Pelodiscus sinensis: one gene and its partners. The protein of the gene in region 2 purifies or fractionates together with the protein of the main gene of each other region. This does not show direct contact. Links are inferred from orthologs where the notes say so. Each region holds a gene or a part of one and is shown on either strand. Other genes may lie near its edges.

What was found.
Region 1: the proteins of NCOA6 (region 2) and PAXIP1 purify together in Homo sapiens (co-immunoprecipitation; 6 studies listed by BioGRID and IntAct, with this or other methods). This does not show direct contact. The link is inferred for Pelodiscus sinensis from reciprocal best matches to the Homo sapiens genes NCOA6 and PAXIP1.
Region 3: the proteins of NCOA6 (region 2) and KMT2C purify together in Homo sapiens (co-immunoprecipitation; 7 studies listed by BioGRID and IntAct, with this or other methods). This does not show direct contact. The link is inferred for Pelodiscus sinensis from reciprocal best matches to the Homo sapiens genes NCOA6 and KMT2C.

What each region holds. Positions count from the first base shown.
Region 1 is NC_134712.1:241,908,033-241,919,288, reverse strand, and holds the start of PAXIP1 (PAX-interacting protein 1), read right to left. Parts: upstream 4,502-11,256; 5' UTR 4,192-4,501; coding exon 4,105-4,191; intron 1-4,104.
Region 2 is NC_134728.1:30,851,748-30,862,212, reverse strand, and holds the start of NCOA6 (nuclear receptor coactivator 6), read right to left. Parts: upstream 4,857-10,465; 5' UTR 4,689-4,856; intron 4,258-4,688; exon of another isoform or gene 4,139-4,257; intron 1-4,138. UniProt on the Homo sapiens protein: Nuclear receptor coactivator that directly binds nuclear receptors and stimulates the transcriptional activities in a hormone-dependent fashion. Coactivates expression in an agonist- and AF2-dependent manner.
Region 3 is NC_134712.1:243,701,293-243,711,736, reverse strand, and holds the start of KMT2C (histone-lysine N-methyltransferase 2C), read right to left. Parts: upstream 4,732-10,444; 5' UTR 4,527-4,731; exon of another isoform or gene 4,431-4,526; 5' UTR 4,430-4,430; coding exon 4,263-4,429; intron 4,136-4,262; exon of another isoform or gene 4,051-4,135; intron 3,945-4,050; exon of another isoform or gene 3,581-3,944; intron 1-3,580. UniProt on the Homo sapiens protein: Histone methyltransferase that catalyzes methyl group transfer from S-adenosyl-L-methionine to the epsilon-amino group of 'Lys-4' of histone H3 (H3K4).

The DNA of each region.
Region 1 (11,256 bases), on a different chromosome or scaffold from region 2:
CACACTAATCTCTTTTGGCTGCATCTCCTGAGAGTAGAGGGCTGCAGATCAGCGAATACTGATTTCTATACGTGGATAGCCACATCTGCAAGTAGACATTTGTATCCTCTAGGGACGTAAAATTATGATGAACTCACTAATTGAATAGTCAATGCAATTTACATCAACTATTCGATTAGTCGATAAGGGTGCCTCTGCTACACTTCAAAGGCGAAAGTGCTGCAGGGAGCATGGGACCAGTGGGAGACTCAAGCAATCCTCCAGTGGCCTTGTGCTCCCTGCAGTGCTTCAAAGTGGCAATGCTGTGTGGAGCCCGGGGTCAGCTGTGGACTCCACGCAGCACTGTCACTTTGAAACACTGCGTGCACGTGCAGCCCAGTCCCCAGCTGGCCCCAGGCTGCACACAACATTTCAAATCATCAGCGCTGCATGGAGCCCGGGGTCTGGCCCCGGGCTCTATGAGGCGCTGCTGCTTTAAAGCATCCTCTCCTCCCGTCCCCACTTACTGCCTCTTTCTGATAGCGCGGGGGGGAGGGGGAAGGAAGCGACTAGTCGACTAGCATTTGCTTATTGGATAGTCAATTAGTCATTCACATCCCTAGTATCCACACAGGGCTGTAGAGACTAAACAAGGAGCTGAGAGCAGACAGAATAAGACCAGTGTGTATGGGGAGACAGATTTGACAAAGAGCTAAAATGTGAAGGGAGACCTAGGACTGGCTGGGCAAAGAAACTAGGACAAGAAGAGAGAGGCAGATCAGATGATGAGCTGAAAGAGGGGAACACGGACTGAGTGCAGGAACAGTAAGGGTGTGTCTAGACTGGCAAGAAACTTGCCAGCTGTGCACACTGGCCGCTTGAATTTGCACAAGAGCACTGACGTTCTTATGTAAAAATTCAGTGCTTCTTGTGCAAATACTTTGATGTTCCCACTCAGGGATAAGCCCTCTTGCACAAGAATACTTGCGCAAGAGGGCCAGTGTAGACAGGCACCTTAATTTTTTGCGCAAGACACCCGATGGCTAAAATGGCCATCGGAGCTTTCTTGCGCAAAAGCGCATCTATACTGGGCACGGATGCTTTTGCGCAAAAGCATCCGTGCCAATCTAGACGCTCTTTTGCAGAAATACTTTTAACGGAAAAACTTTTCCGTTAAAAGTATTTCCACAAAATCATGCCAGTGTAGGCGTCAAAGACTGTGGTGAAATCCTGAAAAGAGGAGATTGGGACTGAAAAGACAAGGAGAATGGGATAAGGATTTAAGGGGGGGAAAAGAGACAAGACTGAAATAAGGACAGGGTAGAAGAGTTCATGCTTGGCAGGAATGGCCAGAAGAGTCTGTGCCTAGTAGGGTAATTAGCTTCCACAGCCTAGACTAGAACCCAAGACTGCTGAAGCTAACCACTCCTCTGTAGTCAGCAAATATCTATGAAACCCACTGGCAAAGGTGTTAATACACACAGGGGATGTTAAACTGCTCCTGCTATTAGTTAGGGATGTAAGCAACTAACTGACTAGTCCCTCCCTCCGCCCCCGCCCCGCTCCGCTCTGCTCCACTCCGCTCCAGGCCTTGCTGTCTCTATTAGAAAGAGGCAGCAAGGTGAGAGAGATGGGGTGCTGGGAGGAGCCTGCTTAAAAGCCAGTTCCCCACAGCTCCAGCTTCGTGGGAAGGGGAAGGGGCAGAGCGGTGGCATTCCATCTTTAAAATGTACAAGAGCCCCAGTAGGGGCTATGGTGCATTTCAAAGACTGAAACGCAGCATGTAGCCTGGGGCCAGCTTCAAAAGCTGAATTGCCGCATGGAGCCTGGGGCCAGCAGAAGACTTCCCACTGGCTCCAGGCTCCATGCCGCATTTCAAAGGCAGAACACCGCCTGGCACTTTGAAATGATAGCAAGAGCCACCCAGCTGTTGCTAATTTTAAAACAGACGCACCCTTAACTAATTGAATAGTCAATGGAAATTCTATCGACTATTCAATTATTAATTAATCTAATTTTAACATCTCTACTATTAGTTATTCCACAACAGAGGTCTGTGCCAACAACAGCAGAGATCTGTACAATGGATGTAAAGGTTCCAACCCTACTGATGACCACTGTGGGTGTCAAAATTAGGGGTGTAAAATTCCATTTAATTAGTTAACCATTGAAACATTATGCTTAACCCATTAACTGATTAAATGGGGTGAGGGGGACAGCTTGCCTGTCTCAGCTGGCCTGGAGTGGGCCCCCACTGGTTAACCATAACAGATAAGCCTCACCCATTAAGGCTTATCTGTTATCCTGATGCCACATGTTGGAATTTCTATTTTTCAGTTTGTTTTAAAAATCCAGAGTTACACATAAAAAGGTATGTTAAAATACCATTAAGATTGCAAAGTGAAGCACAAACATTAGAAAAAGCCAAAATTAAGATTCCATTTGTGAAATGGGGATAATACCACCTCTCACTTCACAGCAGTGTTGAAAAGATTTAAGTAGTATCGGTTTGTGAAGCACTTTAATACAATAGTGAGGGGCGCCATAGAAATACCCTTAAGAAAAATAATAATTCTGACTCCACAGCAGAGTCTGAATAGTGTGCAATATATAAGGTAAGGGGCCCCACACAATGAACAATAAGAATAAAGCAAAATACTGAACTGCTGCTCATTAAATAAGCAGCATCCATATTTGGAAGGAATGAGGTTGGAGTCTTATGGGGAAAATAATATGTGATCATATAATTAAACACTTTTCATAATGAATATGCACAGGGGGCTGAATTAAAGTTGCACAGGTCATATTAATTCTGGCATTTCCTATCTTTTGAGTGCTTTTACTTTACTAAATAATAAAAACACTTCTTTGTGTTTAATAGTATTATATCGCTTCTCAGCCTTTTGGCTAAGATTAAATATAAAACCAGAACAAATCTAAGTAAATGGTCTCTGAAAACTCAGTCACTTTTTATTTGGTCATTAAATGAAAGTGACCTTACAACCTGACAAATCACACTCCCTCACCCTCCATCCTCCACAAGATTCCCTGCAGTTAGCACTTCTAGTGCTGGGTTGGGGATTTTTTTTCAAATCCTGGATTGTTAGGGATTTCTTAGAATGTCTGATTGGGGCCTTGTGTGCTACTTACTGACAGTCAAAACTTTGTGAAGAAGTTAGACTGCGAGAATGTTCTAATTTCCTTTAAAAGGTACAGAAAATGATTTTAATCACCCGCAGCAATTGATTAATACTTTCAGAGAGGAACGCTTCACATGTATCATATGTAACTATAACAAACCCTAAAGAGTCCCCCCCTCCCAATATATTTTTCACACACAGAAGTGCCGAGTGATTGTGCAAAGACTTGACTACACGCCCGGTTCCCTACATTTTTAAGTGCGGTCATTATAAATCCAGGGACACAATGGCAACGTGCATGTTCCGCACCCTCAGGCGCCGGGCGAGTGACCTTTCAGTGCAGTCAGTGCCTGTGGCACGGGGCTGGGCGAACAGGGATGAGGCGACCGGGGGCTCAGTGCCCATGGCCCGGAATGGGGCAGGGCAGGAAAGGGGGCTCCGCGCTGCTCCCTGAAGCCGGGCAGGGAAAGGAGGGAGCAGCCAGTGCCCGCGGTTCGGCCCTAGCGAGCGGGCCGTGCCCGAGGCTGGCGCTGGGCACAGGGCCGGGAGGCGGAGCGAGGGGTCCCCCCGTGGGTCTGTAGCGGGATGGGCAGGGGAGGCTGGACCCGAGGAGGCGGCGAGGGGCTGCGGAGGGCTGGCTGGACCCGAGGGCCCTGCCGCGGGGGCCGCCGCTGTCCGGGGAAGTCGCTCTCCCACTCGCCGTCCCGCCCGGCGGCTCCGCGCAGGCTGCTCTGGGGCCTGCGCACCGGGGCGGCCGGTTCCACGGCGCGGGGGGTGCGGAGGGAAACACAGAGACTGCAGCCCATTCGCCCGCAACCCCCTCAGAGAGTGCGCGAGACACCCCGCGCGCACACACACACACACTTATGCGCGGCGCGAGCTTTAAAGCGGCGCGAGCTTCCACAGCTGTCACCGGCGCAAGGAAGCAGTGGAAGAGCCCACAGTGCCCAGCGGCGGGCGGAGGGGGGGGGGGTTGACCCGGTACCTTGGGGTCGATGTCTCCCACTGCGAAGAACTTGACATCTTTGAACATCTCCTCGGGCACTTTCAGTTCCTCCCCGCCCGCCGACATGGTCCCGTCCGTGCGGAGCCGCGGCTCGCGCTCCCTGGGGCCAGCCCGGCGCTCCCTTCCCCTCCCCCCGCCGAACAACCGAACCGCGGGAGCAAGGCGCGCGCTGCGGAAGGCACCATTCCCCGCCGGGACCCGGGGGGAGACTGAGCCAAACGGCCCGATCAGCGCCCCCGGCTGCCAGTGCCGTGGCTTCTGCTGGCGGCGCCTCCGGGCACGGGCTCGCACCGAACTAGGCCCGAGCGCCTGCGTTCAACCACGCTGCGCAGCCTGCCGCTCCCCCTGTCGCCGCGATCAATGGACTCTCCCCCAGGAAAGGGGCGGGGGTGCCTGGTCCCGCCCATGTACGAACAAGCAGGAGACGGGATCCTGAGCTCTCGTGGGCGCAGCCCACTTCTTCAGATGGCCGGAGTGGGATGGGCGCACCCAAAACAAATGGGGGGGGGCAGGAAACAAGGAGCAGAGAGTACACAATCCGCAACCCAGCTTGGAACATGACCCCTCGCTCTCGGGGGGGGGCATTCCCGCTCACAAGCCCCCCCCCCCCCACCTGAAACCAATGATTTCCGGTCACCATGCTGCACAACCACATCATAAGCCTCCAGGAACTCAGGCCTGCAACCAGCCCAGTGTCTATACCAGCGAATTCGTCCCTGGACCCAACCACATCAGCCACCAAATCAGAGCGTCATTCAACTGCACCACCAGTAATTTGCTCTATGCCATCAAATGCCAGCAATGCCCCATTGGACAAACTGGACAGTCCCTACGGGAAAGACTCAATTGACCCCAATCAGATATAGGGAAAGGGAACATACAGAAACCTGTTGGAGAACACTTCAATCTACCTAATCACTCTTTAAGAGATCTCCAGGTGGCCATCTTGTCACAGACCAATTCTACAAGCTAAATACACAGAGAGTTGTTGGAATTACAATTCATCCACAAATTCAATTCCTCTACTGATTACCTTCTCAATCGAGATACTGGATGGCTGGGACATTGTCAACCAAAAACATTCCAGTGTTTCTCAACCAGTGATACAAGTACCCTTAGGGGTACTTGAGAGAAGTCGGGGGGGAAGGGGGTACGTCAACACAACTGAAACCTGGAGAAAACTGAATTTTTGTTTTAAGTTTTACAGCGCTCTATTATTTTTGGACTTTTTACACTCCAAAATTTCATCACCCACCTGGCTACAATTAAATTGTTTAAACAAATGTGTTGCAATAGTAGAAAAAAAATTGTGTCCCCCAAAACTAGGTACTGGGGGTACTTACAATTTTGTTTTAAAAAAAAGGGGGGTACTTAAATTTTTTTAAAAGGGGTAATTTATTAAAAAAAAAAAAAAAAAAAAGGTTGAGAAACACTAACATTCAATGAAGGTGCCAACAGCTCTTTGTGTAGATTCTTATGTTAGTACCCTTCCTATCTAATTGCGGTCCTTTGATCCTTATCTGCTGCTTTTTATCCAATCTTCGGGTGCTTATAGATTACCAGTTCTGCCTACTTGAGTTTCCCTTTGATATTTTCATACCCTCTGCTCCTTGTTTCCTGCCCCCTTCCTTTTTTTCTTCCTTTCCCTCTCCCTTCTCTCCTATTTATTTTAGGTCTGCACATCCTAAACTCAAAACTCCAGTCATCTGAAGAAGTGGGCTGTGCCCACAAAAGCTCAAGATACCATCTACATGTTTTGTTAGTCTATAAAGTGCTACCCACACCATTTGTTGTTTTTTAAGTTTATCCTGTACTTGTACAGACTAACTTGTCTATCCCCTGAAGCTTCCAGATAAGAAGGAAGGGAGCCTCTCCTGGCTCAGGCCCTGCCTGTGTCCCTAGGTCTTCCCTCCTCTCTGTCCCAAGCCTCCCTCAGACCCCTCCCATACCTTTGGCACCTCCAGAAAGGAGCCTCCGAGCCTTCCCCCCTCCCCACACAGGCAGCCTGGGAGCTGCTCCAGCACAGCCACATGCTGCATGCAGTGGGGGAGGGGAGATGTTTGGCTGTGTCCCACAGTGACCCAGGCAGGCATGGGGGAATAAAGGGGACAGCTGTCCTAGGGCCTGGTGATTCAAAAGTACCATGCGCTCCCGGCAGTGCTTGGGGATGAGGGTGCAGTGATCTGGGGGGCGTAGCACAGCTGTACAGGCAGTGCTGCTTTGGCACTGCCCTTTATGTAAGCCCAGAGCTTCCCACACGCACGCTTTACCCCCAAATCACCAATTAGGGTTGCCAGGTGTACAGTTTTGAACCGGACAGTCTGGTATTTGAGGGTTCTGTCTGGGAAAAAAATTAAGAAAATACCAGACATATAAAATGTCCATTATTTTCTAATTAGGTAAGTTTTGTTATTAGAAGTATCAGTACTTAGTTGCAAACTGCCTGGCTGGTAGACACGCTCATGCTGCATGAGTATGTCTACCAGACAGGCAGTACACAACTATGCGAAGGGGGAGGGAGGCGGGGCATGAGGAATCCCCGGGGCCAGACACGCTTGTGCTTCGCCGGGCGTGCACAGGACGGGTAGCACCGCGGGATCTGCATCTGCCTGAGTCAGTTCTGCTCCCTGCTGGCTGATTCTCTCCCCCCACTCCACACCTTCGGCCAGCCCCACTCCCCCCGACCCCCTCCTGGACAGCCCCGCTTCCCGTCGGCTGGTCCCCCCCCACCCAATCTCCCCCGGCCAGCCCCACTCCCTCTGACCAGCCCTGCTTCCCGCCAGCCGGTTCCCCCCCCCCCCGCCCCGATCTCCCCTGGCCAGCCTCATTGCCCCCGACCCCGCTCCACCAGCCCTGTTTCCCACCAGCTGATTCCCCCCCATTCTCCTAGCCAGCCCCCCTCCCCCACCGCCATCTGAGATCAAATGTGTCTGGAATTTTTTTTGAATCCACCTGGAAACCCTAGCCCCAATTCAAAAGCACAGTGGCTGCCTTGGCCTGATACAATGGTACTGCTGTAAGTGTGCACTTTGGCCATGGGAGAGAGTTCTCCCAGGCCATAGGGATGTGTGTGCGAAGGGTGCAAAAGCACTCCCCCCCCCCTCCCCCCCCCCCTCATGGTCCCTTAGTAAGCATGCTCTGGACAGCCAGGGGAAGGCAGGAGCAGCGAACGTGCTGACTAAGCTTCCCAGCCAGGGGAAGGCTGGAGCTGATTTCCCTGCTTACTTAGGGGACCATAGGGGATGCATTCACATCCTTGTGGCCCACATTTACAAAAAAAAGCCCTCCCCCGACACACAGAAATTCCTGCATATGGCCTGTCTCCCATCCACACAATGAAACCAGCTCAGTGAGAACCAACTCTCAATGACATAGCACTGTACACACAAGCACTTATGCTGGCAAAATGTATGTTACTCGAGCATATTTTATTCATACTCCTAAGAAAGAAAAGTGTTGCCAACATAAATCTACATGTCTACTCAGGCTTTTCCAATCCCCAGTGCTATTTCAGAGCAAGCCCATGCATTGCCCTTCTCCCAGCTCTGTGCATTTCATGTTACAAACATGAGATTGGAATTGCTCTATTCAATTTTAAAATACCAGTGCACACAAAGATTCAAGTCCTATATTTTATATTTGACTTCTTCATTACTGAAGGCAGCATCCTCTGTCCAGGGGAACCTAATTAATATTCAGTGGCTAATCATGGCCTGCTGTGATAGTCTAGGTACTAGAGACAATGTCCTAATGAGTATTAAAATGTGTATAGTTGTACATATGTCAAGCAATCCAATAATAAACACCTCAGGGGACAGGGTTTTCTCCTGGGTTCTTTTCCCAGGTCTACTGATCTGCTGTTAATCTCTCTGTTCCTAATGCCCCAATTCAGTAAAGCATTTCAGCACTTTCTTAACTGTATGAGGCTACATCTAGACTGCACTGGTAAATTAGAAAAAGATACGCAATTTGCGGTACGTTACTTTCGAAAGAGGCTTTTCTGAAATGTGATGCGTCTACAAGGTACCAAATTTTGGAAAATAGTGCTCTTTCGACACATCCCTTATTTTCATAGTACGAGGTTTACTGGGATGGTGCAAGAGCACATCCGCTTTTTCCAAAAAATTTCTGAAAAAGCGGATTCGTTCCTTGGACGCAGCGTTGCTTTTCCGGGATACCTACAGTATCCAGAAAATCAATGCTGTCTAGACATAGCCTTAGATGTCAATGGGATTTTAAACTTATAAGTGCTTTGCTGAACTGGGACCTCAGTTTCTGCAGTTGTAAAATGTGAATAATAATTTCTACCTCACAGGGGCATTATGGCAGTTAAGTATTTAAGGCCAGATTCTGCTACCCTGACATTTGATATTACAGAACTTCACTCAGAGTAATTTTATTGAAAAAGCTTTTTGTGAATTAAGGTTCTGCTCAATGAGAGTTAGTGGTGGCTGAATCTGGCTGCTAATGATTGTCAGGTGCTTTGAGAATCTTAGATGAAAAGTTGGCTATAATGCTGGTATTATTCTCAATCACTACATTTTGTTAGGTTATTGAATATGTGAACCAAAATAGCAGACTATATAGGAGATATGAAATGCATGCTAATTTAAAACAAAACAGTAGATTTATTGCAGATCGTGACTGATTTATTAAACATATACTGGATACAACATACAAGACATGAAATATGCACAAGACATAATATATAGCATACAACATAATGGTAACATACAAGGAAGTAAGAGATTTCAAATGACAGTAATAGGGAGAATTTTTCAAATTGTTATTTAAATATTGAAGGCCCAATTCTGCCCTCCATCACATTGAGAAATATCTTACTCTGAGGGTAGCCCCATTGAATAAGAATAATATTCTCTGAATAAGCTACTACTCAATTTAATTGAGGCAGAGTTGGTTTCTAAATAATTACTGTTTTATATGCTTATTTGATGTTATTTCCCCAAATTGTTTAATTGCTATTTGCATGCAGGACTGCCCCCAAATAATGTATATTTATGATTTAACTTCCTGAAACATCTTCTTAAAATTCACATATTTGTGATATTTTAACTGCTTCAAAATTAGCAATCACATGTGGCTTATTTGCTATTATGATGAAAGTCCTTTAAATATCATTTAAAACAAATCTTATTAGAGAATAAGTATTTTAGTTGTGTTGCTGTTTGTAGATTTTGGCTTCTCTATTAGAATTGCTCTAACCAAAACCATTACAAATCTTCTTGTGGCTAAGTTTAAACATTTATTTGATCTTATATCAACACAGTTTACTGTTCTCTCTTCTTAAGCTTTCTCTACAATGTTGACTTATGAGTAGGGCCCTACCAAATTCACAGTCATGAAAAACATGTCATGAACCATAAAATCTGGTCTCCCCTCATGAAATCTAGTCCTTTGTGTGCTTTTAACCAATACTAGTCAGATTTCAGAGGGGAGACCAGAATTTCTCAAATTAGGCCATATCATGCCTTCCTTATTTCTGTGCTGCTGCTGGCAGCAGCTCTGCTTTTAGAGCTGGGCTCCTGACCATCAACTGCTATTCTCCAGCTGTCCAGCTCTGAAGGCAACACCAGTGATAGCAGCAGTGCAGAAGTACTAGTAGCAGTATTGCAACCCCTACTACAATATTCTTGCAACCCTCCCTCCCCCACAACTCCTTTTTGGGTTAGGACCCCTACAATTACAACACTCATCAAATCTGAGATTTAAATAGCTGAAATAATGAAAATTATTATTTTTAAAATCCTACAGCCATGAAATTGACCAAAATGGACCATGAATCTGTGAGGACCTACTTATGAGTTTCTGTGCTCTGCCACATGTGCTTCTACCTTCCTGATGGGTCCCTCATCATCTTCAGTGAATCCTCATTCTTCCCTCTTCTCCAAATGTTTGTATCCCTCAAGTTTCTATCATCAATTCCATAATTTTAACCTGCATACTCTTCTCTTGGTGACCTCCCTTACTTCCAGGACTTCATCTGTAGTCTCTGAAATCTGAGTGCCCAATTTGTCTCTTTATCCATAACACCTCCCCTATTGTGCAATCTTATATCTCCAAACACCCTGTAAGTGAAACATTCAATACATCACCCCGCAACCACACTGAAATTCTTATCTTTCTTCTTGGTTCCCCTCTTCTATCTATCTTCTGTCACTACTAACAGTTCCCCTTGTTCTTCACATCTTGCAGGCTCACCATTTTGCTGTCATAATTGACTTTTCTTTGCCCTCTTCCTTCATAGCCACTCTCTAAACCCTACCACTTATTCCTTGTACTGTCATCAAAATCTATCCTCACTAGTCACACTGCCCCACACCCTGATTTGCTGAAACTTCTCCTCTCACTTTATAACTGCTAAATTCAAAAAATTCTCCCTCTGCTCTCCCTACATCACATACTTCATTCCTTGTATCTGTTTGCTGACTTTCCCTCTTATCAGATATAATTGAAATCCTTGTCTCTTTCAATCTTGTTCCCTGCTTTCATTCCTTCCAACTCTTGCCTTTGCTCACTATTCTTCTCCCGATCAATTCACTTTACTACGCCCACTATGTATTTTTCACTCCTGTTTTTATACTTCCTATATCCTGTCTCTCAGAGTTGATCCAGTCTACCACTACATCCATCAAGATCCCTCTATCTCCTTCAAATCCCTCCCAAAAACCTACTTGTCACAGGAATCCTTCCTCCCAACGTCTCTTCAGCACTCTCTCATCCAGGGCCAGCCTTAAGGAAAATGCCACCCTGGGTGAACTTGTGTTTTGATGCTCCTGACCCTTGGGGGCATAGCACCACTGATTTCCCCTGACACCTATGGGCTCCCAAACCCGTGCTCCGCCCTCCTGTTCACTCTTTACTACTAACCTTGCATTGTGCCCCTTTTACTCCCAACCCTTGTACAGTGCCCCCTTCACCCCAACCCCTGCACTTTCCTCCCACCTGTGCCCTCAACCCCAGTCCTGCACTTTCAGCTAGTCCTGCCACACTGCTCAATACATTCCCCCCTTTGTCCAGCAACACCCATGCCCAGTTGCCCCTCTCCCTGTGGCTATGGCTCCAAGAATTACAAACAACCTCTGTTCCTGTACTATTCATATCTCTGAGGTT
Region 2 (10,465 bases):
ACAAGCTAGCACAGACTAGGGATGTTAAGGAGTAGTTGACTATCCAATAAGCAAATGCTTATCAGACAGTCAGTCAACTAGTCAATTCCCCCACATCCTTGCTCAGATAGAGGCAGCAAAGGGAGGGAAGAGGGGGTACTTCAAAGTATCAGTGCGGCACAGCTGAGTCCGGGATCAGCTATGTGGCACTGCCCCTTTGAAATGTCAGGGTTTTTAAAGTGGGATCCTCGACTCTTTAATTCCGAGGCGGGAATCATAGAATCATAGGACTGGAAGGGACCTCGAGAGGTCATCGAGTCCAGCCCCCCGCCCTCAAGGCAGGACCAAGCTCCACCTACACCATCCCTGACAGATGTCTATCTAACCTGTTCTTAAATATCTCCAGAGAGGGAGATTCCACCACCTCCCTTGGCAATTTATTCCAGTATTTGACCACCCTGACAGTTAGGAATTTTTTCCTAATGTCCAATCTAAACCTCCCCTGCTGCACTTTAAGCCCATTACTCCTTGTCCTGTCCTCAGAAACCAAGAGGAACAAATTTTCTCCTTCCTCCTTGTGATCAGCTGTGCGGCGCTCCCGCGCATGGAGCCCGGGGTCAGCTGGGAACCTCCCCAACTGATCCCAGGCTCCAGCATAGCATTTCAACGGAACCCAGGATCAGCAGCCCCCAGCTGACCCTGGGTTCTGGGGAGATGCCACGCAGAACCCGCAGTCAGCTGGGGTGTGCCCAGATGATCCCAGGTTCATGCCATGCAGAGCCCAGGATCAGCTGGGGAATCCCCAGTTGACCCCAGCTTCTCATGGCATTTCAAATCAGCAGCGCAGCATGGAGCCCAGGTACCCTTGTACATCTCAAAGCTAGCATGTGCAGCCCTGAGTCAGCCGGACTTCCCGCTGGCCCCAGGCTGCACCTGGAGTTCCCCATTCCTTCTTTGAAATGTACAAGAGCCCCAGTAGGGGTAGCAGTACCTATCAACAAGTACCTATGCAGCAGTACCTATCAACAAGTCCAGTAGTCGATGGAATTTCCATTGACTACTTGACTAGTAAATTAACCGTTACTTAATATCCTTAGCACAGACAAAGGAGCACTGGCCAGAACATATCTTTTTCAAGAAGCATTGCTACTCTGGAGAGCACAAAGATATGAATAAGGGTGGAAAGTTTACCACTTGAAAGAAGAAGTCAGTGCCCTACTGACAAGCAAAAATTTTAAAAGCACATGCTTGTCTACTTCTACTATCTAGACAATAACTGTAGGCAACAGCATTGGTTTCTCACTAGGATGCTGTCCCCTGGAAATTTATGATGACCTCAGGCTTATCTGGTCTAGTATGTTTCAAGCCAGTCTTCCCCCTACCTTCCGAAAGGTTATCAAAACAACTGTATGCCTACACACAGTATAACAAGTTACCAGACTCATTTTCAGTGTTGAGAACTACAGTCCACATTCTACATATTAAATTCACCATGAGCACAACCTACATAACTAATAGTGAGCTTCTAAAAATGCATTATCTCTTGAGCAAGACTGAAACAAAAGAATCTTGCCTTCTGCACTTCAGATACACATCAAAAACCTGTACAATCCCACTTTCCCCAATACAGCCCAGAGATGTCAGAATCTTACAGCCATATTAACCTTTTGGTATCCTCAACAGTGCGGTCCCCTTCCCCTACATACATCATGAACCCAATACACCCACACAACTCAACTATGATTCACACCATTTCTAAAATGTTGTAGATCTAGTACAAGATATCTAATATTATGCACTTTTTAAGGTCCACAGATAAATTGACAAAATATACTGGCTTTAATGTGTTTAACAGGGTTTAGTGGTGTCAACTCGGTATCTTACTCAGATTTTTATTTACCTCACAAGGCTTACATGGACAGTATCCAGGACAGCACAGAGGTTATTTATTGAAATGTAACTGCAGTTCCACACTTTTAAGGCCACTGAGAGTTTAATCTAATTTTAGAAATGCCTGATTTTCAAGATATTTTGGGGTTTTTTTTAAAGGGAATAAATAACTATACTCATCAGATTTAACGCTATGATTATCATGTAAGCAGCAAGGTTATTGCAGGTAGTTCCTCCCCTGTGAGTTCTGCCACCGAGCAAGTTTTTCAGACAAAGCATAACTGACCATAGGAGCAGCAACTGCAAGTCTCTCCACTGGGTAAGTCTGAAATCTGCTAAGGGACACTTTTTAATTCCCAGGGGGACAGTGAAGCAGTGAGCAGAAGCCTGAGTGAGGTGCAGAAATCATGAAATATGACCTTAATAGCAAAAGGTAGGATCAAAGTATTATCATGAAAAAATATCATTGTAAAACCAGGTCATTCTACGTTAATATTAAAAGGAAGCAGTATGGTTCAATTGATTAGGTAGTAACCTAAGTAGTCATGAGATTCATGTTTTATTCTCAGCTCTGCTATGAATTTGCTGTGTGTAACTGTAGACAACTAGCCCAAAAAGATTAAAAGCAACCACTGATTTTGGATGCCTAATTTGAAACATCTACTATTTTCCTGAGATATTAACACACACAACTCCACATGAAATCCATGGGACCACAAAGTGCTCACCACCACAGGTGAACAAAAACAATGAAGAAATAGACCATATGTGGTTAAATTTGACCAACCAAAATTTGTTGTTTGCATAAATAGAGGACACTTTTGATCATTTCACTCTTTGTGGCCCATTTATCTGAAGAAGTGGGTCGTGCCCATGAAAGCTCATGATACTACCTATATATTTTTTGCGAGTCTCTAAGGTGCTGAAGGACTAGGGATGTTAAATATTGGTTAATTGAATAGTCAAGTAACCTTATGAATTTTTATCGGTTAGTCAACTATTCTATAGTACCCAGAGGTGGTTCCAGCAGCCACTGTATCAGAGGCAGCAGTGCGGGCAGGAACTGGTCCATGAGGGGAGCCAGTTTAAAAATCAGCTCCCCTTGTAGACCGGCTGCTTGTCGCCCAGTGCTGCTGCCTCTGATAAAGAGGCAACAGTGCAGGGTGAAGCAGCCCCTGTTTAAGGGAGGGTCTGAGCTCCTGGACCTGGTGTGAGCCAGAACTGAGCCAGCCTGCTGGCCAGCCTGCTAAAAAAATTACTGGCAAGGGTGGGGGAAGGGAAACGTGTGAAGTCTGTAGCATTAACCTATAAGCGTTTAACTGGTTAATCGACTACACTATTAAATCCCTATGCAGGACCTTTCGTTATTTTCCCCATCAGTGAAGGATGAAGAATGATGCTTGGGTCCTGAATCCCTTTGAAATATCACCTCTGTAAAGATACAATGAAAAATACTCATGAGGGTTTAATAGCATTATGATAACAGATGGAGTTATTTCTATAACTGAAGCTCAGATAAGACTGTCCCTTTAAACTTTAAGTTGCAGCTTAACTAAGGTGGGAAGTGGGTTGTGTGTGTGCAATACACAATTTTAAAATCCAGACAAGGCTCACAGGACTAAAATTAACCCTGTCATCTTGGCTTAACTTCTACAGCATTCTTGTAATTTACATTTTGCAGTTTACTCTCAAAACCAGAAAAGGTAGCACAACTGGCCAGGCAAGACACCCCTATGAAATCAAAGCCACTGTTCCCTGTAATCAAGTCTCTTAACACAGTTGGTGTTTTAAAAAATAATGCAGACTTCACAATAAGAGGACACAAAGTTGCTCAATTTATTTTAAAAGGGCTGGAAGAGAACACAAATAAACCTCTGACATACTGCCTGCATTTGTTCAAAATCAGAAATAGGAAGGATAGTTGATCAAATAAAATAGTTACAGGATCTTCCAGTTTCCCATACATGACAGAGCCTATGACAGAACCAAAAGGAGGACATTGGATCCGAGTTGAACAATCCACACCATCTTAGCAGTGCTACATTCTTTGAAATGGAAGTATGACTATGAACCCTCTAGCCAATGCAACATTCAATACCCTCCTATTAAACTGGGATGGATCCCGTTTAAGGGGTCCACAACTACAAAGTGCAGACATGAGGAAGCCAGTGTGCACAAGATTCACCAAGGCAGCACGCAAGAGCTCCAGAGCTATGTTCAGCCCATACAGGGAATGCTGGGAAGTGACAAAGGTCTTCATCTCTCGGGGGGCTGGGTCAGACCTAGGCGAGCTGCTCATGGGACTAACTGAGCCAAGGAAATCAGAGGTTTCTCTTTGAATAACATTATTCGGCCCGCCTGGCTGCAGGAGGCATCGTGAGAGCAAAGGTGCGGGCCCTGCTGGGCGGGGTGCCGGGGGGGCTGCCATCCAGGCAGGGACTTTCGACCCCCCCCCGGGAGGTGGCACGGGAGCCCCGGGGACATTCAGCCGGAGAAAGGGGCCCGCGGCCCTTTGCCAGCCCCCCCCCCCAGGCACCTGGCCCCCGCCCCCGGAGGACCCCACCCCGCGCAGGGAGAGCCCAGCCCCGCGAGCCGCCGCCGCCAGGCCCGGGCGGGCACCCGCCCCCACGCGCCAGGCCAGGCCTCGCCCCCCCCGCGGGAGCCTGGGCGCCCCCGCGCTCCCCCCGCCGGCCGCGCTCCCCCCCCGCCCCCAGCCGGCCCGGCCCGCTCCGTGCCCGGCCCCTGCCCTCCCCGGGCCGGCCCCGCTGACCCGCCCCCCCCCCGCCGGGCCCGAGCCCCCCGCCCGGCCCCGCCCTCACCTGGGCAGCCGCCGCCTCGGCGCCGGGCTGAGAGCCGGCCTGGGCCCGTCGCACCGGGGGGGTCGGCCCGCTCCCTGCCAAGCGCCCAGGACACCGCAGCAGCCCGGCCGCGGCTCCGCCTCCTGCAGACACGTGACCGAGCGGGGGCGCGACCGAGCCCGGGCAGCGCGCGCGCCCCCGCCGCCGCCACAGGCCGCCGGGCCTGCCTCTGGGCGCGCGGGGAGAGGCGCCCCCCCCCGTGCGCGGGGGGACAGACTGACCCCCCCGCGCCTCCCCGGACACACACTGACCCCCCCGCCCCCCCCGGACACAGACTGACCCCCCCCGCTACCCCCCGCCCCTCGGACACAGCCTGACCCCCCCCCCGCTCCCCGGACACAGACTGACCCCCCCCGCGCCCCTCTCGCGCCCCGGACACAGACTGACCCCCCCGCTATCCCCCCGCGCCCCGGACACAGACTGACCCCCCCCCGCTACCCCCCGCCCCTCGGACACAGCCTGACCCCCCCGCCACCCCCCCGCGCCCCGGACACAGACTGACCCCCCCGCGCCCCTCTCGCGCCCCCCGGACACAGACTGACCCCCCCCCGCTGCCCCCCGGACACAGCCTGACCCCCCCGCTACCCCCCCGCGCCCCGGACACAGACTGACCCCCCCCCCCGCTACCCCCCGCCCCTCGGACACAGCCTGACCCCCCCCCCGCTCCCCGGACACAGACTGACACCCCCCCCGCGCCCCTCTCGCGCCCCCCGGACACAGACTGACCCCCCCCGCTACCCCCCGCCCCTCGGACACCCCCCCGCTACCCCCCCGGACACAGACTGACCCCCCCCCCGCGCCCCCCGGACACAGACTGACCCCCCCCGCACCCCCCCGGCCCCCCGGACACAGACTGACCCCCCCCCGCTACCCCCCGCCCCTCGGACACAGCCTGACCCCCCCGCCACCCCCCCCCGGACACAGCCTGACCCCCCCCCCGCTACCCCCCGCCCCTCGGACACAGCCTGACCCCCCCCGCTCCCCGGACACAGACTGACCCCCCCCGCTCCCCCCCACCCCACGGACACAGCCTGACCCCCCCGCCACCCCCCCGGACACAGCCTGACCCCCCCCCCGCTCCCCGGACACAGACTGACCCCCCCCGCTCCCCCCGGCCCCCGGACACAGCCTGACCCCCCCGCGCCCCCCGGACACAGCCTAACCCTCCCGCGGCCCCCGGACACAGCCTGACCCCCCCCACGCCCCCCCGGCCCCCGGACACAGCCTGACCGCCCCCCGGACACAGCCTGACCCCCCCGCGCCCCCCCGGCCCCCGGACACAGCCTGACCCCCCACGCTCCCCCCGGACACAGACTGACCCCCCCCGCTACCCCCTGCCCCTCGGACACAGCCTGACCCCCCCGCTACCCCCCCGGACACAGCCTGACCCCCCCCGCGCCCCTCCCACGCCCCCCCGGACACAGACTGACCCCCCCCGCGCCCCCCGGACACAGACTGACCCCCCCCCGCTACCCCCCGCCCCTCGGACACAGCCTGACCCCCCCCGTGCCCCTCCCGCGCCCCCCCGGACACAGACTGACCCCCCCCGCACCCCCCGGCCCCCCGGACACAGACTGACCCCCCCCCGCGCCCCCCGGACACAGACTGACCCCCCCGCTCCCCCCCAGACACAGACTGACCCCCTCGCTCCCCCCCGGACACAGACTGACCCCCCCCGCACCCCCCGCACCCCCCCGGACACAGACTGGCCCTTCCGCGCCCCCCCCCCCGCCCCTCGGACACAGCCTGACCCCCACCACTCCCCTCCGGCCCTCGGACACAGACTGACCCCCCCCCGCTCCTCCCCCGCCCCCTCGGACACAGCCTGACCCCCCGCTTACCCCTCCATAAGAACGGCCGTACTGGGTCAGACCAAAGGTCCATCTAGCCCAGTATCCTGTCTACCGACAGTGGCCAGCACCAGGTGCCCCAGAGAGGGTGGACCGAAGACAATGATCAAGTGATTTGTCTCCTGCCATCCCTCTCCAGCCTCTTACAAACAGAGGCCAAGGACACCATTTTATCCCCTGGTTAATAGCCTTTTATGGACCTAACCTCCATGAAATTATCTAGCTTCTCTTTAAACTCTATAGTCCTAGCCTTCACAGCCTCCTCTGGCAAGGAGTTCTATAGGTTGACTACACGCTGTGTGAAGAAGAACTTTCTTTTATTAGTTTTAAACCTGCTACCCATTAATTTCATTTGGTGTCCTCTAGTTCTTCTATTATGGGAACTAATAAATAACTTTTCTTTATTCACCCTCTCCACACCACTCATGATTTTATAGACCTCTATCATATCCCCTCTCGGTCTCCTCTTTTCTAAACTGAAAAGTCCCAGTCGCTTTAACCTCTCCTCATATGGGACCTGTTCCAAACCCCTAATCATTTTAGTTGCCCTTTTCTGAACCCTTTCCAAGGCCAAAATATCTTTTTTGAGGTGAGGAGACCACATCTGTACACAGTATTCAAGATGTGGGCGTACCATAGTTTTATACAGGGGCAGTAAGATATTCTGGGTCTTATTTTCTATGCCTTTCCTAATAATTCCTATTTGCCTTTTTGACCGCCGCTGCACTCTGTGTGGAAGTTTTCAGAGAACTGTCCACGATAACTCCAAGATCTCTTTCCTGATTTGTCGTAGCCAAATTAGCCCCCATCATACTGTACGTATAGTTGGGGTTATTTTTCCCGATGTGCATTACTTTACACTTATCCACATTAAATTTCATTTGCCATTTTGTTGCCCAGTCACTCAGTTTGGTGAGATCTTCTTGGAGTCCCTCACAGTCTGCTTCTGTCTTGACTATCCTAAACAGTTTGGTATCATCTGCAAACTTTACTACCTCACTGCTTACCCCTTTCTCCAGATCATTTATGAATAAGTTGAAAAGGATTGGTCCCAGGACTGACCCTTGGGGTACACCACTAGTTACCCCTTTCCAATCTGAAAATTTACCATTTATTCCTATCCTTTGTTTCCTGTCTTTTAGCCAGTTCTCAATCCAAGAAAGGACCTTCCCTCTTATCCCATGGCCATGTAATTTACATAAGAGCCTTTGGTGAGTGAGCTTGTCAAAGGCTTTCTGAAAATCCAAGTATACTATATCTACTGGATCCCCCTTGTCCGCATGTTTGTTAACCCCTTCAAAGAACTCTAACAGATTAGTAAGACAGGATTTCCCTTTACAGAAACCATGTTGACTTTTGTCCAACAAATTATGTTCTTCTACATGATTCACAATTTTATTCTTTACTATTGTTTCGACTAATTTGCCCGGTACTGAAGTTAGACTTACTGGTCTGTAATTGCCAGGATCGCCTCTAGAGCCCTTTTTAAATATTGGTGTCACGTTGGCTACCTTCCAGTCATTAGGTACGGAAGCCGATTTAAAGGATAGGTTACAAACCACAGATAATAGCTCAGCAATTTCCCATTTAAGTTCTTTTAGAACCCTTGGATGAATGCCATCTGGTCCCGGAGATTTGTTAACATTAAGTTTTTCTATTTGTTCCAAAACCTCCTCTAATGACACTTCAATCTGGGACAGTTCCTCAGATTCATCACCCACAAAGGACGGTGCAGATTCAGGAATCTCCCCAACGTCCTCAGCCGTGAAGACTGAAGCAAAGAAATCATTTAGTTTCTCCGCAATGGCTTTATCGTCCTTGATTGCTCCTTTTATAGCTCGATCATCTAGGGGACCCACAGGTTTTTTAGCAGGCTTCCTGCTTCTAATGTACTTTAAAAACATTTTGTTATTTCTTTTTGAGTGGCCCCCCCTGCTACTCTGTGTCCGGCCCCTCGGACACAGCCTGACCCCCCCCCCCGCCCCTCGGACACAGACTGACCCCCCCCTCGCTACCCCCCTCGGACACAGCCTGACCCCCCCGCAACCTCCCCAGCCCCTTGGACACAGACTGACCCCTCCCGCTACCCCCCCGCCCCTCGGACACAGCCTGACACCCCCGCTACTTCCCCCTCAGACACAGCCTAACCCCCTCCCGCTACCCCCCCGCCCCTCGGACACAGCCTGACCCCCCCCCGCTACCCACTCACCATAGCCTGACTGCCCCCCCCCCGCTACTCCCCGCCCCTCGGACACAGCCCTTGGACACAGCCTGACACCTCTCTTCCCCCCCCCGCCCCGCTACCTCCTCACCACAGCCTGACCCCTCCATGCCCTTGGCACAGCTTGACCCTCCACTGGAAGCCCCCATGCCCTTCGGACATAGCTTGATCCCCACCCTCTGGGAGCCCCCCAGCTTCAACCCCCTCTGGGAGCCTCACGTTCACAGGGCAGAACCTCACCCCATCCCACTGCGAGATTTGGGGCATCCCCACAGGAAAACACCTCACCTCCCCAGTGAATGTAGAAGATACTCTCTCATCTACCCACTGGCACCCCTAGAGGAGAAATTCATCACTCCATCCCTGATTGAAAGAGTCTGGGATGCCCCCTCCTCAGCATCAGACATTCTTTGGGTTGGGGGACCTCCCTTCTAGCTACTTGGGTGGGCCCCTCAATTCCCCACAGTGGGGAGGAACAGGAAGGAAGATTATTATTCTTTTCAATGGAGATTGCATCACTCCAGAGCCAGCTCCATTCACCCACAAAAACGCCCTCCCTACACACACCACCAACTCCCAATCCTCTGCTCCCAAGGGAAGCACTTTCCCTTTCACTGAAGCCTGAAATTGAGAGATTCCCAACCATCTTTGCTGAGAGGTCTGCACCACCAATCCCTTCACTCCCAGTCTGCCAGACTTAGCAATAAAACCCACATTAAAAGCACTACTCACCCACACCAATGAGTGATAGAAATGTAGCCGAGAGTTATAAGATCAAAAACACATATTCCTGCTCATCCAGAAATATAATTATGCTATCATGTGCCGACAGTGTCCGTCTGCTGTGTACATTGGACAAACGTCTCAGACACTTCGCCAAAGGATCAATGCCCACAAAATAGATATTAGACAGGATCACAAAGAAAAAACAGTTTCTTCCCATTTCAACCAGAAAGGACATTGTCTCAACCACTTGATTACCTGCATCCTGCTTCAAAGACCTTTTAAGACCACACTTGAAAGAGAATCCTCTGAACTGACATTCATGCTTAAATTCGACACTTTACGCCTAGGTTTAAACAAAGACATTAATTATCTTACCCATTACAAAGATAGCTTCCCCAATTATCACCTCTAATATCATTAGCCCCCCATCCGCCTTCTGTTCTGAAATTTGATTTGTCCTTTTCATATGTGTTCATTTTTTTAAATTGTATCCTTTGGTATATATGGTTGTGACTATTTTCTTCCACTATTTGATCTGAGGAAGTGGGTCTGGCCCATGAAAGCTCATCACCTAGTAAACCATCTTGTTAGTCTTTAAAGTGCTACATAGTCCTGTTTTTTGTTTCAGCCACACCAATGAATGAGACTTGTGAAGGGTGTGGGGCCCTTACTGGATGAGGGGGGTAACCTAGTGATAGATGATGTGGGAAAAGCTGAAGTACAGGCAGTCCCCGGGTTACGTACAAGATAGGGATTGTAGGTTTGTTCTTAAGTTGAATCTGTATGTAAGTCGGAACGGGCGTCAGCCGCTGCTGAAACTGATCAGTTTCAACCGCGGCTGAATCTGGACGCCAGTTCTGACTTACATACAGATTCAACTTAAGAAACCCAGGCGTCCCCAAGTCAGCTGCTGCTGAAACTGATCAGCGGCTGATTCCAGG
Region 3 (10,444 bases), on a different chromosome or scaffold from region 2:
TATGGTACCCAACATGCTCAGACAGATCCTCTATTATCTGATTTACAAAAAACATATTAATCCAACTGGAAAGCACGTGAGAGAAGAGGAAGACATAGCTAACCAATCACACAAAAATGGAAACTTTATTTTCACTAAATGTTTATTTAACGTTGAAACGTATTAGACTTGTTTAAACGGTATGCTTAAAAAAACCCTCTCTTTTCAGAAGCACTGGTGATTAAAAACAGTCCAGTCTTCATCTGATCAGTGATACATTGGGGTAACTCTAACACAACCTCCAAAATCCTATTTTAGAAATGCTGGTTCCTTGTGTTACTGAAACACCTCAGGCCACAATCATGAAAGCTTTCCATTCGCATGGTCCTCCTGTGAGGATCAGCTTGCAGCATCAAGTCATATACAGGAACATTAAAACTGCAGAGGAAAACAAACAACTTGAACTGTCTGTTTACTTTTTGCATTTCATTTACCTGATTCATGTGAAGTACATAAAGCTAATGAAAACCAGTTTCATTTTTGTCTCTAGCTACTTTCATTTTCTGGCTCTCATGCATTGACACAGATTTTAGACGTCATATAAGTATTTATAGTTTTAGACTTCTTAAATAAAAATAATCTAGATTTCTCCTTGAAACTGACTGTGTCCCTTTAACACTAGAAATATAATTGAAAAAGAAAATACACTTTTCACAAAGTATACAGATTATCTTAAACTGGCATGGAAGAAACTGCCTTTTCCACAAACGGCAGTATTTTAAAAGTGATTAAATTAATTTTGTTAATTTTTAATATTATGTAGCTACAGAATCATAAATAGGCAGCATTCAGAGTTTCACTATAAAAATACTTTTGTAAAAGTAGCTCAAATGCTTTCTATGTAACTAGATGTTACATATACAAATAAAACAGGATAATGTATTTACATCTAAGGGTAAAGCAGAGGGATCAATATTGAATGCAAGGATTGAACTCTTTAAATCGGAGTGGGGAACCTTTTTTGGGTTGGGGCCACTGACCCACAGAAAAATCTGTTGGGGGCCACACATAAGTGAGAAGCAAAAATACGTGTATTGACATGGGCCCCGATTCAGAAGGAGAAAGACACTGTCCGCAATCCCCTCGCACACAAGAGCCTACGGGGACCCAGTCTAGTTGATTTAGTGAGCTTCAGCCCCGCGGTGGGAGGAAGGGTGAGCTGGAGCACTAGCACATGCTCCGCAATGCTGGAGGGGCCACTGAGTCTCAAGGACCAGATCCAGACAAGCTGGGGGCTGCATACAGCTCTGGACCTTAGCTTTAAATCATGATTTGCAGACTTCAATAATTCTGCCAGAGGTTAGGGGGGTCTATATGAAAGGAGTGGGTGAAATTCTGTGGCCTGCAATGTGCAGGAGGTCTGACTAGATTATTATAATCCTTCCTTCTGGCCTCTATGCTTGAAAGGCACATAAAAAACATCAGCGAGAACTGTTGAAATCACTTTAAACTTCCACTATGGAAAAAATCCATTATTTTAACAAAATGCAAAGATTTAAGAGAGATAGGATTGTGAATTAAATGCTACTAGAAGACACAACCACAATAAAATCAGACAGTCAATGTTAGAAAGCCTTTAACATGAACTGTCAAAAACGGGGGGGGGAGGGAACTAATCAGACTTTTATCTAAAAAAATTGTTTAATCATTACAAGTAACATGGAAGATCAATCCACCTGAATTATTAAATTAACATATTTTCTTCTATGTGTTCAGTTTATTTTATACTCTTAACAGCACTTTGTATATAGTTGGTTTCACAGTTTTCCTTGTACAGTTAGTTTCCACTGTTGTTTGTGTAAGGTCTTTCATTATAAACTACAAAAACTGACTGGGAGACTCAGGAGAAATGATCTAGCTTTAACAAAACATTTTTGTTTTAAATTGCCTAGATGTCAAGTTGACCATGACCCTTTAAAAAAAATACTAAAACATTAAGGCTTACATTTCTAACAAACATAATTAAAATGGTAGCAAACAGGTTTATTCTATTTTTATCCTAGGACATACTCTCTCACTAACAACCAAAACTGAGTACAGTTGGTTTATAAGTAGCACTTTCTGTGGCTACCAGCAAGAGGCCTTTTGGACTTCTGCTTCACAATACAGGGAGATAGAAATTGATCCAAACAAAGATATAGGTTGAACCTCTCTAGTCCAGCATTCTCTGATCTGGCAACATCTGTAGTCCGGCATAAGGGTGTGAAAGATTAACTGGTTAACGGGCCATGCTTACCGGTTGAGGATAGCCGGCAACCGGGGGGCACTGGAACAGCTCCCCCTCTGCCACAGGCAGGGGGCTGCTCCAGCCTCACAGGGGGGCCCGCCAGAGACAGGAATTGCCCCTGTCCACAGCGGGTTCAGGTGCTCCACGGCCAGTGGCTGTTATCACATTCAGAGCAGCCTCTGTCCATGGCAAGCCTGGGCCCACCGTGGACAGGGACTGCTCTGGCAGCAGCATGGAGGTGGCAGCTGGGAGCTGGCAGAGCCAGTCCCAGACCCAGCGTGGAAGCTGGGAATTGGGAGCCAGCGGCAGCACAAGCCCCAGTGCATGGCTGGAGCCAGCTACCAACCCCAGCAAGAGACTGGGAACCCCACGGGCTGAGGGCTGCTCCAGCCAGGCTGAAGTAGTGCCCAGGCCAGATCCTGCTTTAGTTGGTTACATAGTTAAACATTAGGTTAACTCAATGTTTAACCAGTTAACTGATTAACTGGGATTTTACATCCCTAGTCCGGCATGATTTTAGTTAGCTGGATGTTCATTTATCATGGTTGTGGCCAAGTTTTCTGCAGTCCCATAAAGTTTGTTTACAGGGACTACAGAAAACTTGGCCACACCCACAAACCAGTCCTGCCTTTCAGTGTTCTGTGCTGTTATTTAGCCCTAATTTACCCCAAAATGTCTTCTAACAGCCCAGTAAGCAGGGGAAGTGTTGGTAATGCTGCTGGACAATACCACCCTCCTGTGGTTCAGCAAATTCTCTAGTTTGGCACCAGTCAAATCCTGAGGATACTGGACTAGAGAGGTTCAGTCTGTATTACCTTACCCACATGCATGTACCAATTTATATATAAACTGTGGTATGTCTATTAAAACATTAGTTTATGTGTGATAATAACATTCAATGTTATTACACATTTTCACTAAAGAAAAATATTTTGTAATATTCCCTGAAATTGTGTTATGTAAAGCATACTGTCCTCCTGAAAATGAACACAAAGTTATCGGGGTTCTCGTTGACTGTCAGAGAGTTTGTTACTAACTGCACACGGGATATGGAAATTAGATAAAAGGCATTCCTAAACCTCACACTAAAGCACAGCAAGCAAATTATAAAAGGGACCTTCTATTTAAAACCAAACATAGTCCACCTGCACCACATCTGGACGCTGCAGATCACTCCAGCGCTCCCTCGGTTTGTCTGAGATGCGCTGTTGATAGTTGACGCAGCTGCAAGTGGCAGCCTGCCTAACTTCGCTAAAAGTGAACGGAGCACATTCAGTTCCGCCTGAAGCGTGCGGAGAGCGGGGACCAGAGAAGGAAGCTAGCCGGCGACAGCAAACGACAACGCAAAACACCACAATCTTCCCAGCCACCCCCTGTTGTGCCTGCTCCCTTCCTCGCTTCCCTAGCCGGGCCATCCCCAACCCGTCTGAGGCTGTTTGACAGCTCCAGGAAAAAGGCAGCTTCTACTTTCAAACACACTCCGCGGCTGGGTTGGCTGCAGGGAATTGTTGTCTAAACTTTGCGTGTGTGTCTACGTAGACAGAGGTTTGTAGAGTCATCCAGTTAGGGCTAGATCAAGCTTTTCTTTACTCCCCCTCCCCCAGAACACAGCAAGGGACACAGAGGGCAAGCGAGAGCCCTGGAGGAGGAGAGAGATCCCAAGAAGGGCAGAGGAAAGGTGCAAAAGGGAGGGAAGGACTGAGGAAGGGGCCATGCCAGGGAAAAGGGGAGAGAGCGGGTGGGAGGAGGAAAGGGAGAGAAAAGTGAGAGGGAGGGAGAGAAGAAGGAGGCCAAAGGTGAAAAGGGAGAGAGCAGTGGGGGAGGAGGGGAGAGTGCCACGGGCAGAGGAGGAAAAGAAAGAAGAAAGAGGTGAGGGGGGAAGGGACCCTCCCAAAATGGCACTGGGCAGAAGGGAGGGGGCGCTGAGGAGCGAGCCTGTGCTGACAGCTCTGCCTGCCCCCTGCCCCGCTGCCTCTCCCACACGCTCCGAACTTACTTCTTTCTGGCTCTCTGGAAAGGGGAAGCGCCATCTTTGCGAGGCCGGCCCCTAGGTCTTTTGTCTGTGGCTGCTGCTGGGGGGGGAGCTGCGGGCTCGGGGGGCTGCTGCGGCGGCGGCGGCGGCTCCGCCACCCCCGCGGCTAGACTCTTGTCCTCCGTTGACATCCTAGTCAGCAGGACGAGAGAGACACATGGATGAGGAGGAGGGTGGCGATGAGGATCCCGATGCTCCTCCTGCTCCCGATGCGCCTCTCCGCCTCACCTCCGCCTCCTCCACCTCCGCCTCGCATCGCTGGCCTCAGCCGCCGCCGACCAGCGCAGGTAGCAGGGGGAGCGGCATGGGGAGGCGGGGAGTGTGTGTGTGGGGGGGGGGAGGAAGGGGCTCGCGCACAAATAACCGCCCCGCGGAGCGGGCTCGCCAGGGGCGGGGAGGGGGCAGAGACGCGCGGGCACTCCCGCGGCGGGGGCGCCTCGCCTCAGAGGCCCAGGGGACAAGCGGCTGCTCCGGCTCCTGCGCTGCCCGGCTGCTGCGGTGGCCGCCGCTTCATTGTACGCGGCGCCCTCCCCCTGGCGGCGCCCCCGGGGCGGAGGAGGAGCAGGCGGCGGCAGGGGCCGAGGCAGAGAGGAAGTTTTGACAGCTCCAGCTGTTGTGTGTGCCGGGGGCAGAGTCCGGCCGGGCCCCGCTCCCCTCCCGGCCGGGCCGGGAGCAGGAAGTTTACTTGGGGACGGGCACACGGAGGGGGAAGCGCGGGGCCTGCGGCTGGCGAGGGAGCCCGGTGCGGTGGCGGCGGCTGCCCTGGTGTGTAACCCTCGTCAGTGCGACACATAGACACAGAGCCGCTCGGCCTCCTCCCCTCCCCCCGCGGGCCCCACACTGCGCCTGCCCGGCCCGCCCGCCCACCGTCCCACAGCACAGACACCCCTGCGACGCGCCGCCGACGCTGACCTCACGGGCTCGCTGTCTCTGCCGGGCTGGCGGCGGCTGCGGGGAAAGTGCGGAGCCCGGGAGCCGGGACTGGGCTCGGAGCGTGCGACACCCAGTGCGCTCAGCCCCGCCGTGGCTGCGGGCGGCTCCCGGGGAGCTGGCGCTGGGTGTAGACAGACCTGGCTAAGCAAACACGGCCCTGTAGGGAGCGGGTCTCCGGCCAGGGAGGAAGCAAATGCTGCTCTCGTGTGCACCCCTGTGACGCGGAGCCAGCCAACTGATTAGAGGCAATCCAGCTTGGCAGCCGAGTGGTGGAGAGCAGAATGTAGCCCCAAACGCACACAGCTGTCATTTCCCTGGATAAGCATGTGTGTGTGGTGTTAACACACGCATGTGCTCCTTACACGTCGGCAGGGGAAACCCTGACCCCTCAGATGCAGAGTGTTTAGTACACACCTACGGAGCCCAATGGCGATTGTTCCTTGTGCAACCTCTGCGCCCCGTGTGTATGTGGCAGCTTTGCTCTGAGTCAGGCTGTGTGCACGCAGTGTGCAGGGCCCCGGGAGTCTCTTTGGCATGTTCTGAGGCGCAGCAGTGCTGGAGGGGAGGAGGGCCTAGGAGCTTAGCTCGCATCACAGGAGCGAGCAGGGCTTGGCCCTCTGAGACAAAGTCTGGGCAGCGTGGAAGGTTTCCAGCCAACTCCGGCTGTAACAGCTGCGGCTGCTTGAGGGAGGCGGGGGGGGGGGTGTTTGTGCTAATCTCACTCCTCGCTTCCCCCCTCCCCCCCGGGGCAGGGCCTAGCTGGCTGCCTGCCCGCCCGGATTCACTGGGGCTCAGCGCGGGGGTTAAGACTCATTATTACACGGGATTTAATGCGTCCCGCAGCCCGCTGGAGTCGCTCCAAGGAGATCCGCGGCTTGGTGCCCTAATGTCCGGGCATAGGGCGAGGAAGCCGCCCTGGGGAGATGCCGTCATGCCGCATGTATGGGCGTTGGGGCTTGATACCTGAGCAGGACGGGCCGGTTAGCTGCCTTATTTACCCCAGCGGCGCAGCGCACATCTGGACTTTCATCCCGGATCCGCCCCAAACGCGCAGCCCTGGTAGGGAGACTGGGAGGAGGGCAGGAGACGCCTGCTTCCCCCCACCTCTCTGCCTAGAGAGTCAGTTTTGCAGTGTTAAATCTGCCCCTCTTTGCCAGGAAGGACTTTGGTGAATGTGTTTCTGTTCTGGAGATGGTGCCGCTGTCCCTCATTCATTGACACAGCCCTCTCCCCTGTTGCCAACTCCTCAGCAGCTTGCTAGAATATTTCAAGACCACAGCAAACCCTTAACTGTCCACTCTGAGGGATGGTCAGTCTCTCTTCTTTCACAGTGACCTTTACTTTTCTCCCCGGCAAGCCTGGTGCTGTTTCTCCTTTGTGAAAGTAAATTATTCACATCACAAATGCTGAATTATGAAACCGATGTTATGTATGGTAAAGAAAATCCTACAGTGTTTGAGTGTGTATATATATGTGACTCAAATATTTTGTGTGCATGTTTAAAAACTTTGCTGAGGAAACCAGAAATTTTGGTGCTCAGCCTCACAAAAGACCCCAAATTAATAACCTCAAATACAACTTGTAAAGTCCTGCATTATGTGGTGGTCCTTATTTTAGGTTTTTATTTTACTTGTGGGCCCCTACTGATTGAGAAGAATGGGCTTGTTACACTAGGCACAACAGGAGTATAGCTAGCATTTTGAAATGTGTACATGCACTGGCTGATTTGTTGTCTTTTCCCACCCACGCTGTACCCATGATTTCCTGAGAGCCTGCCATTACACACAACTTGACCACTAACAAAGTAGGAGCAGATAAAGCTAGATCTGTCACCAGTGTCTGCGTAAAAGACCGGATGAAGAACAAAAGGAAAAAAGTCCTCATCTCCCCCCTTCCCTAAAAAATTCCTGCTAGCCACCTTCAGAAATTTTGCAAAAATAAAAGATATTGTTTTTCACATTGAGATAGTGCAAGATGCTAGGGGAGACAAAGCACTCAGGTTACCTCAATGAAGCTAATTGAGGTCACCACCATAATGCCCAGGGTTTACCACAACTAGCAACAGTGAGGTAAAAACTCCTATTACTAGAACTTTGTATTTGTATTATGATAGCACTTAAGGGCACCAGTCATAGACCAGGATTTCACTGTGCAAGGCACTGTATAAACACGGAACCAAAAATAGTTGTTTACTCCAACAGACTTACAATTCAAGTGTCTTGTCATCATGAGGATTTTATATGAAGACCAGGTCTATACTATAAACTTTTTGTCAGGATAACTGTGTCTGTCAGGGATGAGATGGGCATGATTTATGATCAACATAGCTATGCCAGCAAAATCCTCTATTGTAGACCTAGCTATTCCAGCAAAACTGGGCTTTTGCCAGTAAAACTTATTTCATTATGGGGGACTAGAACATATATACAGGAAAAAATGCAGTTTTGCTGGTATAAGCTGCATAGCACGTTACGGCTATGTCTACACTGCCGATTTTGCTGGCAGTGAGTATGCAAATGAGATGTGGGTTAGCATATAGTTGCAGCTCATTTGCATAATTTATGCAAGCCTTTTTTTGCACAAAAACAAGCAGCGTGGACGGGGTTTTTTGCACAAAAATTCCTTTTCCTGCCAGATCAGTAAGCCTCCTTCTTGGGGACATAAGGATCTGGCAGGAAAAGGGGTTGCGCAAAAAGGAAACGTCCACACTGCTTGTTTTTGTGCAACCCCTCCCCTCCCAAATCGGATTGGCAGAAAATATGCAAATGAGATTGTGATTTATGCAAATGAGTACCTCATTAACATATTTTTTGCTGCAAAAACTCGTAGTGTAGACATAGTCTACCAGTATAGTGTACTGGTATACCTATAATATGGCTACGTCTAGACCGGCATGATTTTCCGGAAATGCTTTTAACGGAAAAGTTTTCCGTTAAAAGCATTTTCGGAAAAGCATGTCTAGATTGGCACGGACGCTTTTCTGCAAAAGCACTTTTTGCAGAAAAGCATCCGTGGCCAATCTAGACGCGCTTTTGCGCAAAAAAGCCCCAATCACCATTTGCAGAAAACAAATCTCAGCTGTCTACACTGGCTCTTTTGCGCAAAAGTTTTGGCAAAAGGGACTTTTGCCCGAACGGGAGCAGCATAGTATTTCCGCAAAAAGCACTGATTTCTTACAGTAGGAAGTCAGTGCTTTTGCGGAAATTCAAGCGACCAGTGTAGACAGCACGTTTTTCCGGAAAAGCGGCTGATTTTCCGGAAAAACTGGCCAGTCTAGACACAGCCATACTGAAAAAACCTTCAACTATAGACATGTCCCAAGCCTTACACTAAGCAGCACTCTGCATTTTAATGGATGTTAAGAAGGCTTTTCATTTGTATTTAACTAAATAGAACTACTACTAATAATAATTACTAATAATAATTTGTGCCAATCAAGTCAGAGTCCTTTGAAAATGCCAACTGAAGTTATAAACTCCCAAGCCCCCTCAAAGTAAGTGTTTTCAAGTGCCTGCAGAATTGGTTTCAACCTATAACTGAGAGCACCTGCAAGAATATTTAAATGAGGCACATTTCCAGTTTTTGACTTACACATATAAAGTTGTTTTGATGTGCTTAATGACAAACTAGGAGTAAAATTCTAATGCCCACAGATCTGCCAAAACAGGAGTGAAAGGAAGATGGGATCTTGTTATGGAAACCATTAAAGACAAATAAGAACTAGTATGTAAATACTATAGGGTTATTATAGCATTAGAAACAGTATTGTGCAACAAAAATAACAAGGAATAAAATGACTCAAGTTGCTGGTAGTGGGACACAGACACTTTCTCCTTCATGTTACTAGTTCAAATCCAGATCAATCTAATAATGGTTCACTAACGAATATAAAATGAAGAAGTGAGTTGTGCCTATGAAAGCTCATGATACCAGCTACTTGTTTTGTTAGTCTTTAAGGTGCTGCAAGACTATTCGTTGTTTTTTAAGTTTTTCCAGTTACAGACTAACTCGGCTACCCCTCTGAAGCTTTTCAATATAAAACGAGTTAAGGTTTAATTTTGGTTTCTTCAGGACAGGTGTCTGCATGACTCTCAGAAAAAAATAGTCACAATGGCATTGCCTACACTAGGATTTAAGGCAGAATAACAATTTAAAATTGTCCTGTAGGGAAAATACTATGCCTTTGACAGTTGCAAAACTGATCACATGAAAGCCTACCAGAGCTTGGCCAGCTAACATACATCTTAATTAGTGCTGAGTGTTTTTCATTCATGTTAAGCTCACACAGTTGAGATAAGATGATGGAAACACACCTTTTTACCCAACAAGGGCAGGTCTGCATTGAAAACACTGCAGTGGACCAGTGGTATTAGTGCTTTTCTCATCAGCATAGGTACTTCACCTCCACAATAGGTAATAGTGCTGGGAAAAGCCTTCCCATCAATATGGCACTGTGTACACTGGAGGTTAGGTTGGTTTAACTGCATCATGCAGGGGTGTGGATTTTTCAATCTTGTGAGGAATGTTAGTTATACCAACCTATTTTTGTAACATATACCTGGCCCAAGACACATAGGACCCTGCTGTATTCCCACTGGATTTTCATTTAATTGGTTTTGCATATTTTGAAAGCAGAGTACTTTTTCTACACTATGCTTTTAAAATGTATTTAACATGTGTTGACATCAGCCCTTTATACCTTAGTCTAAACAAGGCCTTAGGAATTTTAGATTTTGTCCACACAGGAAAGATTTTTGGTATAAACTAAAGTGTGAATGTAAAACAAAAGTTATACAAATAACTCCATGTAGAAGAGTGGCCTTTTTTGGGAGAGAGGTAGGTGGGAGAGTTAAGATAATTAAAAAAACCACCAGAATAAATGTATTTTCATGGCCAGAGGAAATGGGGCAGGGCTGGAGCTATACTTTTATGACTACACCTATATATTTGTATCAATATGATAGGTAAAATTTTCCTTTAGACAACATCATCTTTCATGGTTGTAAGTTTGCATGTGTTACCTCCATTAAAATGCTTAAAATATTAACAGCACAAATTATTTACAATTAAATCTTCCTATTTGGAACTAATTGATTTTCTATATTAAAATGTGGTATAAATGTTATTCCTTCCAAACACTGGCCCTAATCCTATAAATGCTTAATTAGACATGTAATTAATGATATATGTGAATAGTTCCCCTGAAAGACTAA